Oryza sativa Japonica Group: one gene and its partner. The protein of the gene in region 1 binds, or shares a complex with, the protein of each later gene. Links are inferred from orthologs where the notes say so. Each region holds a gene or a part of one and is shown on either strand. Other genes may lie near its edges.

Region 1 (4,738 bases):
CAACATGCTACCCGAAGCCGGGATCAGTCAAGGTCAGTGATGGCGAGGTGCTGACCGTCGTCTCCAACTACAGCAGTGACCGCCAGCACACCGGCGTCATGGGCCTGCTCTACATCCTTGTTGCAGAGCAAGAACAGCCAGCTCCCAAGCCTGCTCTGTGCTTCAGCTTCCCGGTTCCATGTAAGTTGAACAAAATCATCAACATGGTTCATGCCCCATTTCTTGCAATCTTGATGCTGATTTTGCGCATTTGTAGGGTGCTTACCGACATGGCTGACGAGCAATCTCTGAATGTTCAAGTTGGACCTGAAGAAGATGATGCATAGATGTAAGCAAATAAGTTGCCTGGGTTTTTTTGTTGAACTATGGCAGACCATAGGAGTAGTTTGCTGTGTCATTTTGATGAACCATCAGTAGTTTCTGATGATCTGTGGCACTACGGCACTAATATATCAAACTGGGTCATATACAAGGGCATTGGCAGACATCTTTCTCCAAATAATAGTATTACTCTGAAGAAGCTAGTGAAAACTGGGAACCAGATGTACAATCTCTTGTACTGTTGTACTGTTATATACTGGTGTATACAGTATTTATGTATATGGTTTTTAGGTAATGGAATGAATAGTTATATACTGGCTTATGTATGCATGTAACATGATCTATATACTTGAGCTCTTGCAGACCAATGAAATTTAACATCAAAATCCACATACACACTATTAAAATGTACATTAGCCACCAAACTCGATCATTGGGTAGTATGATTCTGTAGCATTTTTTTATTTGAAATGATTCTGTAGCTTTCATAGTACGCCTCCTTAAAAATATAATAAAATAATAAAAAAAAAACTTTCAGATAGACATCATCGTACGTGTTGCAACCAGTTGTCGTCCTAGATTTCTTCTCATTCTTGTATGCCTTGTGTCATCCAGACAGTGACAGATTATGACCAGAACAATGCAGGAAAGGGACAACTAGGATGCTTTGTGCGTTGATCTAAGACGATTATTTAATTTAATTGTGTCAATTATCTGCTAACGAACTATTCCTAATGCCATCAACATCAAGTCCAAACAAGTTGATGGGAATATATATAGTGCTGGCACAGTATCAGCGTTCTTGCAAGACAAGGCAATGAAAAATACAAGGACGAATTAACAATGCTGCATAATTTTCTTGGTTTTGACTTAGCAAACAACCACAGCTTAATAGTCGTACAATCTGATTTGGAACGACCTGTAAAAGCTCATCCCATGAAAAAAAAATTACGTCCTGCTGCAATATGCAGATTGAATACTGCAAAGATGCTGACATGTAACAATAAAAGTAACACATAATGACAGAACCGAAAGAAACCAGCAAGAAAAATTCACAACTAAGCCGGCTTGACAAGAGCCAAATTTCATTTACAAAAGCTGTTAAACTTGCTACTACATTACATGACTGTAGTATCAACTCTTCAAAGAGAAAAAGCAGAAGTAAAGTGAGGCAGGTTAATTAGGGGGTCTCAGGGCAGCTCTTTTATATGTGACAGAAGACAAGAGCTGCTCACTGAGGAAATTTCCCCATGTCAGGAAACATAAACAGAGAAAATGGAGCTTCTGAACATCTAACTATTAGATCAGCTGACACCTAACAGATTAGCATTTCCGTCAGTAGGTTGTATTGGACAGGTGATGTGGTATAACTGAAACAACTAGCAGTCTGGCTGCTCCAATTTCACTGGTGTTTTTGTGGCGATATCTGCTGTTGTTGCTGCTGCTGATGCGCTATTTTGATCGCTGAGACTTCTGGCAACAACCAAATCACTGACAACATCAAAGTTCAGTCTTCCACTGACTTTCTTCCCACTGCACAAATTGAGAATAGTTTAGACAAAGTTTTCCTCTCACTAGTGAAATAAGGATAAAAAGACTTCTTTTCCAGCTTCTTTCTAGTTTTACCTGTTTAGGCGGTTGTTTATAACCTTAAGGTCCTTGGAGGGGCTCTGAAATGCATGAGTACTCTCCCCTACACAGGCGTAATAGCTCTTGGAGCTTGGGGAAAGCAAAGTATCCATCTGAAACATTCAGTTATTGCAATGTCACAACATTGATCAAGGACTACCATTATAGTTAAAATTCAGGTGGTCATTATAAATGCAACATTAAACTTCACAAGGGAGATCAGTTTATTTCTTGAGGCGTACCTTTGATGTGCGCAAGGGTGAAACATATACGTTATGAGCAGCAGAAACTTTCTTGGGAGACATGTCAGGAAGGTTTGGAAACCGAGATAGCCGAGGAGATTCTGGATATGGACCTGCTAATATGGCAAGCACTTTCAGAAAAGCCTTTAAATTCTAGCAGTACAATGATCAAACTTGTTTCAAGTACATTAGCATACCATCAGCAGCACATTTTTCCTCATTCTTCTTGTTTGGACTAGTACCAGACCCTAGCTCAACCAGCAAAGGTTTCACAGTAGGAATAAATACTTCGTTGTAGAAAGTGATAATGTCAACATGGTCCTCCCCTGTTTTCTGATGCCATAAGAGTAAACACACTTTCAGAATAATTGCGATTTAAACATAAAAAATTCTTGAAACACTGAAAAGAAAGTGCAGTTACCCCATTGCGGCTTCGTGATGCCCAATGAACATAAACACTACGGAAAACTTGTGGCTTGCACTGAGATTGTTTTCTGTAGCCGAAAATAATTTCCTTGAATGTCAGTGCCAATTGAGATATCTGCACACATGGACCAATAAACAAAACTGAGTGCTAACTGAGATATCTGGAAAAACAGCAATTGATAGATATACTAGCAATCATAACAAGCGAAATCTTTCTTTGTTGCAAGGGGAGTAATTTCTAGACAGACCTTAGCAACTCCATATATGCTGCATAGTATAATCTGATCGATGTGCCGATTGAAAAATAGAGCAGTTTGTTGGATAATGATTTGTTGCACAAGGGAGTACACTCGCTCCAAGACTTGCTGAGAAAGTTGCAGCCTTTCACAAAGACCTCTGATTCTAATAGCTGCAAGCTTTGCTATCTGCGCAGGACAAAAACATTGCAGTGCGATCAGTAAGAATTTTAGTGCATATTAAGGCACTTTAAGGTCAGACACTTATTTTTGAACATAAATTATGGTCAGACACTTATTTTTGAACAAAAAGTATGGTCAGACACTCACCTTGCTCAAAAATACACCTATTCCTGTCTCTGCGCATAATTCTCCCCCTGCTGCAGGATTAGGTCTTGTTGGACTGAAATCAAGAACATGCAAAAAAAAAAAAGACAATTGAGCAACCAGCTAATGACTTTAAAGAGGAATCAGGAAGGGATGTAAACCTTAAAAATGCTGATTGGAGAGGAGGCAACTTTGATTTGAGGGTATCCTTGACTGGTGATCTAAATGAATTGTTGTCCACCAGCACATTCCTCCTTTCAGTGCATGCTCTTTTGGGAGATCTAACTTCATCCTTGTCTACAAGAAATACCAAAATTTGTAAGTTCAACCATTCTTTCATATATTTTAAAGTCAAAGGCAATGAAACATGAGGTAGCATGCCAGTGGGCTACCTGGTGAATGTTCTTGCTTTTGAAAGGGAAGAGGTGGCAGCCCCTCGAGTGAAATGTTATGGTGCGCCGCAATGGCATCAAGTGATGGCATTGGTTCAGCCAATAAACCTAGCCTGTTTATTTCTGCAGATAGTGTTGGCCTGGCAACAATCAGAGAATTGTACATTGATGAGCCTTTCTCCCATGCCATGCTTTCCAGGAGCCGTTCCTCAAGTGAATTCAAATGACGTTTCAGCTCTCGTGGAAGTGTATCCTCATGCCTAACAAAACTCTCTATGACTTTGCTCAAGTCAAAAGCTGTTATGCCAGTTTTCTCTAACACAGCTGGGAACATCATTGTGACTGTCTTGTGAGTGGCCAGCACTAACTCAGCAGAACAAGCAATCATACACCGATGGAATCGCTCATTAGACAGAAGCGATGTAAGATTGTTCCCACTCAAGATCTGAGTCTCTGCTCTGCACATTGATTCCAGAACCCTGTAATATAGCTTAAGTGCTTCCATTTTTCTTTGCTCTGTCCAGATAGCATCAATCCTGTTTGTGCTTCGCACGCTGGTACATATACGTTCGCCGAAAGAACTGCTTGTGAATATGGCTCCAAGTATAATACCAGCTCTGCGTGTAATGTCATCTGTCACATCCTTATCACAAGCTGAGAAGAAGCGCAGTAACTCCCCGGAAGGTTTTGAAGGAAGGGGAGAGATTGTGCTCCGAAGCCACTTGGCTGTTGTCATGGCTGTGCTCACTGGGGTGATAGGAGCCATTTTTGAGCTGCAGTAGCCATTTCCAGTAGGGGATGCACAAAACCGTGGAGGAGACATCGGACTTGGACTTGTTATTGATTTTGCAGGTGAGGCCATAACATCGTACTTTCTCTGCAATACCCACAGGTAAAGTTAAAACATAAGATTTGGGGTTTTAAGTTGAATGAACATGTGTAGGCTTAACACTAATTACCTTTGTGCCTGGTAAATTGATGGCACCTCCTGACAGACTTCCACTGCCAAGCAAGCTGTCCTCATCGTTTGCGAACATGCGCTCATCTAATTCTCCCTTGGTGTTAATTGCATTCTCATATTCCTTTTCCAGCATTAGCAAACTTAATTTCAATGAGTCTTCCTCGAGCAAATTCTTAAAATATGTCAAGCCCTCTGCATCAAACA
Region 2 (5,386 bases), on another chromosome or scaffold:
TGGGATAAGTTTTTTTAGGGGTCTATTTGCGAAATAAGTTCTTCAAAAGGACCAAAATGTGAAAAATCCAGTCGTCTCATGCCGTCTCCCGTGGATTGATACCATGACATGTGGGCCAGTGCGTTCGGGCCCCACCCCATGAGACGACACGTCAGGTGGGGAAAAAGGATGCGCGCGTCCGTGCTTGCTTGCAAGGCAGTGACACGTGGGCCCTCGTCTCGGCTGGTGGGCCCGCACCGTCAGCGTGTGGTGAACGGCTTTGCTTGATTCCCTTCGCTTGATTCCCTTCTCTCTTCCCGCTTCCCCCAACTAGAGTCGAGAGCAGGCGCTGCTTACCTACGTGAACCCTGCCTACGTGGACCGCTGACCGCCGTACAGCGTGGGGCCCACGGGTCAGAAGCGGACGTCCACCGTGCACCGATGCGGCAAACGTGCATAGGATCCGTTTCCGCGCGCTCCCCGCCTCGCTCTAGAGCGTGTGCGTGTGCGTGTGCGTGTGCGTGTGGGCTTTTTCTGTTTCTTTCATCCATCCATGGTTTTCATAATTACACCAACTCACCCCACTGATTTTATATATAATCTTACTTCTTGCTTCATTGGCTAATCAAAGTACTCTGTCTTCACTTTTACCATGAGCTAAGAATTTCTTTTTGTTCTGTTGGCATTTTCTAATTGCCATTTCTCTATACAAATGGATATATGATACGTTCTGTTAAATACATGTGTTAATAAATTTGTGGGAATTTAATCAAAAGATAAGCCATGGTTTAATTTCGTCAATATTAGATATATTCTTAACATTTTATATTCGTTTTTCAAGTAGTATGTGTGAAACACAATGTAAGATAGTGTTTCATGTAATCATATTTAGATGATGAGGGGATTGTATTTTATTATGTATCATTGCCCTACACATACTTCCTCAAGTGACATTGTCTAAATTTTCCCAAAATTACACATGTCCGTAGCTGTTGACTTGTGTAATTGATTCTAACTCGAATTTAGACTTGTTTTAATATATTGACGCCACAACGATAGTAGATATCTACATGGGGCTTGTTCCGTAGAACTAGCCGTTGAAGTGATGTAGCTGTTCGGCTAGACTGCGTTGCACATCTCAAAAGTTGCAAGTTGACATATCGAACATGGCAATGAGCTATGCCTTGCAACATACTTTGGCTAATGGTTGGCACTGTAATAGCGAGATATTTGATCTACAACATATTAGGCAAATAGAACTGTCCGAAAACAAGAAAAGTGGTGCGTTTTCATTGCAATTTTTTTTACCGTTGCAATACCCAACTAGAGTTAGACGTTGGCTCCTACTTCCTACGTTGTCTCTCTAACCAAATAAAGTAGGTAATTCTGTGAGCAATAAACGTAAATACTTGCAACAAATACGCGATGCGTAGCTGGCTTACTATGTTTGCTTAAGAAACAGATAATCACGCACCCCAACTCTACAAAACCAACACTGACCTGTGGACCCCCATACCCCCATATTAAGCGAGATCGACACGATCGGCCGCTGACTCATGAGCCCTACCACGGATAAGACCAGCGGCAACGTCTATCACAACAGGTACATTCAGATGTGAACATATTCCCGTATATACACGATAATCCTCAAACAAATACATACCAAAACTATCACGAGGTAAACTCGATAAATACCCCATGGATCCCAATGAATAAACCACACAAGCAAGAAGAAAGAGGGTGAAGGAGCAAGAAAGAGAGTTAGAGAGAGAGAGAGAAAAAAAAAAGAAAACGAGAGAGATAGAGAGAGAAGGAGAAGTTGTTGAGTTGTTTTCCCTCTCTCGTCCCCTTCCCTCCCTCCCCTCCTCTTCTCTCTTCCCCCCCTCTTTTCCCTCCTCTTCTTCGTCTCCAAGCGGCGCGCGCTCTCTCGCTTCCTCGCCGCCGTCTCGGACTCGGACTCGGGCGAGCGGCGCGGCGAAACCCTACCTCGCGCTCTCCTTCCATGGACGGATCCGCCGCCATCCCGCCCCGCCCCGCGCCGACCCCGCCCGCGCCCGCGCCCGCGCCGCCGCAGGTCTTCCTCCGCCGCTCCGTGCTCCCGCCGCCGCCGGCCCCGCACCACGCGCCTCCGCCCCCCGGAGCTCACGTCCACTACTTCCGCGCCGCCTCTCCCATCCCCATCTTCCGCGCCGCGGCCTCCTCTAGGCCCCCGAGGCCGCCCCCGCCGTCAACTACTACTGCTCCTCCTCCTCCCGCCGCCCCCGCGGTCACGCCTGCTCGCCCGCCTCCGCAGCAGCCTGCGGTCGCCGTGGCGGCGCCGCCTCCGGCTACGACTATGGCTACAGCTACCGAAGAGGTGGCTGCGCCCGCGACGGGGAATCCGATGGCCAACGCGGCGGTGAGTCAATGGAATGTCCCCCCCGAGTTAATCCGTCTACTCCTTGCCATTACTGTTTCAATCGATTGATGCTTGTATTAAGCTTTATTCTAGTGTTTGGTTGCATGATTCGATCATTCAATTTTGGATGTTATGGATTGGTAGATGTGTTCGGGGATGTTAATTTGGTTGGGACAACTTTAGGTTGGCACGAAGATGGCTTTAGTAGAAATTTTGGCATGCACGGCCGAATCGATTGAGCTCTGCCTGCTTCAAATCTTCCTTTGCGCAATGGTACTCTATTTAGTCTCAGTTTCAGGACCAATGGCAACAATGTAATGTTGCAGTCGACATCTGTAACCTGTAAGATCGATACGTGTAAATATGGTTTGGAAAAGACTGTGTTAGATTAAGTTCTGTCAGGTGCTTCTCATGTTCAAACTAATCTGCACTGTCCACTGCAGGCAACAAACTAATCTGCATCTGCAGTTGCTTTTATGTAAAGCTTACCAGGTTCTTCTACTTAGATCAGCTCTTTGGAACATGTTTGGTAGGAGTATGTATAAGCAAGTGATTTTTATGATGTGCTAGAATTTGGTTTGATAGCATATAATGTTTGGAGTAGATGGTTTCGACCTTTGGTACCTGGCCTTAGGAGTTAGGAGGTTGTCCTGGTACTAGGAGCTTATAGTACAAGTCAATCCCTACCTTTTGGTTGGAGAAATCTTGCAACTATGGTTCGTATTATGTTGGAATGAGGGTTTTATACTTGTAGTATTTGCATATTCTCTTTCACTCTTTTGAGGAGACCATTTTTCAGGCTCATGGATGTTATACTTGATCTTCATAATGGAGCGTAGCATTCCAAGATAGTTGCTGGATCAGTTACATTATGTTTGATAATTGACAATGTTGTGTTGTGAATGGTGCATATGTTTTAGGACAATGAGGAGAAAAATGAAAGAGAAACTGTACAGTCTGAAGTCGCCAAAGGAGAGACTGTGCAAGGGCCTGATAAAGAATGTACAACTGGGGCAGTAAAAGGCATCAAACGGCCTAGAAAACCAAAAGGTTTTAAAAAAGGTAGTCTTCGATCAAATGAAGGTGCGGTCCTGCTTATATTCTATCCACTTTACATAATGTGCATTGCTCTGATAATTTCATTGTAAAAGTTTCATACCAGCATTTGATTATCATCTGTTGTTCATTCTAATTTTCTTTTCAGGAGATGCTGGGCCTTCTTTATTTTCACCAAACAACTGTCGCTATGACAGCTCGCTAGGTAAAGTATGATGCATTTTTCCCAATGAAAAAAAATGCTTCATGTTTCTTATTAATTGTTACCCTTTTGCCAGGTCTTCTTACAAAGAAGTTCATCAACCTTCTTGAAGGAGCAGAAGATGGAACCCTTGATTTAAATAAAGCGGCTGAGACATTGGAGGTCTGGTTTAGTATTATCATTGAAAAAAATGCTTTCCACGCTTGTCAGACATTCAATCTTTTTAATTGTCTAAGAGTGAAGTGCCCTGATGTACCATATTTTAATAAATTTCTGTAGGTGCAAAAGAGGAGGATATATGATATAACAAATGTTTTAGAAGGTGTAGATTTAATCGAAAAGACACTGAAGAATATGATTCGTTGGAAGTAAGTGTAATTTGTTTATGTTTCTTAATGCATTCCACAAGTTAATTTTAGGTTTTTACTGACAAAATAAATACATTCAAAGGGGTTTTGATATGTCAAAGCCTAAGGAGAGAGAACGACAAATCTCAGCATTGAAGGTATGTACCGTTGTACTTTATGCTCTTCATTCTGTACATATTTTATGCTTTTAACTATCCTAAAGCTACACATAAGTAAATTATACACACATCATTATGAGTTCCATTCTTTTTCTTTAATCTTTATAGATAGAGGTAGATTGTTCTCATTTTACTTCTATTGTTTTTCAAGTCAGAAAGTGGACTAATTTAAATTGAACCATGAACTATCAGTAGGTTATGTGTTTGTACTAGAAATGGTGCCCTTCTTTTATTACATTAAGCTACTTCATGTATCACAACTGGGCATTAGGGCAGGCCTCTCCTGTATCGTTTCACTCAACTATTGGAGCATATGCCTAGGTATTAAAAGACTACTGTACTCATCCTTGTAACAAGGTGGTTGTATCATTTTACTACATGAAGACAGAATCAGTGATACATATTATCCCAATTGAACTAAATTGAACCAAGATAAAAATTATTTTGCTGCTTTTGAACCAATTATACTTTGGCTAACTTTTATTTTTCAATGACGTTAAGTAAAATAATATTGGTAACAGCTGTTGGAATTGAACTCGATCACCATGACTGTTACGGTACCATTTTATGTACCATCCAAGGAAACTATGGTTTATGTTTCCTGGTAATTTCTGATGCCATATCTGTATGAGTGCAGATTGTAGGATAAATTGACCATAACCAGTATTTTAATGGTAGAAAAATGTTTCCACAGTGGTTGGCTAGAGCGAAGTTTTAGTGGATCTGGCATGCTGGGGTATGCCTGTAAAAATAAAACGTAATAATTCAGTCCTAAGTCCATGATGAATCTTCTTCTTTATTTAGAGGCTTTCTTGAAGTTTCAAGTGCTGGCAATGCAACAAATCAACAAATCTATCCTCTGACAGTTCGCATGCCATTCCATTTGAATGTTAAGATTTTTGTCCTGCATTTGAAATTTCCTGTTGGATTTTGATATTCTGCAGGAAGAAATTGAGTCTCTTTATGATGAAGAGTCCAGGTTGGATGATGAAATAATGTAAGTACTTCCTGAAAGTAATACATATATCTGATTTCTCTTGTCTCGGTCCCTCTCTTTTGATAGATAATTGCTGATTCTGCAGGGAAGCACAAGAGAAACTGAATGCCCTTAGAGTCGATGAGGACAGAAGAAAGTAAGATTCCCATTTGCAATTATGGCAGTTTTTATATTTTATATAGTCAACTGAATCATTGTGTTTTTCTTTTTAGGTTGTTGTATGTTTCG

The links. The genes of interacting proteins can lie anywhere in the genome.
Region 2: retinoblastoma-related protein 1 (region 1) and transcription factor E2FC share a complex: the UniProt entries of both Arabidopsis thaliana proteins name them as parts of the DREAM-like complex. The link is inferred for Oryza sativa Japonica Group from reciprocal best matches to the Arabidopsis thaliana genes RBR1 and ATE2F2.

The regions. Positions count from the first base shown.
Region 1 is NC_089042.1:27,067,438-27,072,175, forward strand, and holds the end of retinoblastoma-related protein 1, read right to left. Parts: intron 4,727-4,738; coding exon 4,533-4,726; intron 4,451-4,532; coding exon 3,574-4,450; intron 3,479-3,573; coding exon 3,343-3,478; intron 3,258-3,342; coding exon 3,185-3,257; intron 3,044-3,184; coding exon 2,867-3,043; intron 2,734-2,866; coding exon 2,614-2,733; intron 2,526-2,613; coding exon 2,390-2,525; intron 2,309-2,389; coding exon of another isoform or gene 2,306-2,308; coding exon 2,193-2,305; intron 2,064-2,192; coding exon 1,948-2,063; intron 1,855-1,947; coding exon 1,701-1,854; 3' UTR 1,356-1,700; downstream 1-1,355. Other genes in the region: uncharacterized LOC4346175 precursor, read left to right, coding at 1-180, 257-291. UniProt on the Arabidopsis thaliana protein: Key regulator of entry into cell division. Acts as a transcription repressor of E2F target genes, whose activity is required for progress from the G1 to the S phase of the cell cycle.
Region 2 is NC_089038.1:712,015-717,400, reverse strand, and holds the start of transcription factor E2FC, read left to right. Parts: upstream 1-1,841; 5' UTR 1,842-1,981; coding exon 1,982-2,377; intron 2,378-3,297; coding exon 3,298-3,460; intron 3,461-3,581; coding exon 3,582-3,638; intron 3,639-3,711; coding exon 3,712-3,797; intron 3,798-3,914; coding exon 3,915-4,003; intron 4,004-4,085; coding exon 4,086-4,140; intron 4,141-5,105; coding exon 5,106-5,158; intron 5,159-5,243; coding exon 5,244-5,294; intron 5,295-5,370; coding exon 5,371-5,386. UniProt on the Arabidopsis thaliana protein: Involved in transcriptional repression. May act by repressing E2F-regulated genes in mature differentiated cells, but is not an antagonist of E2FA.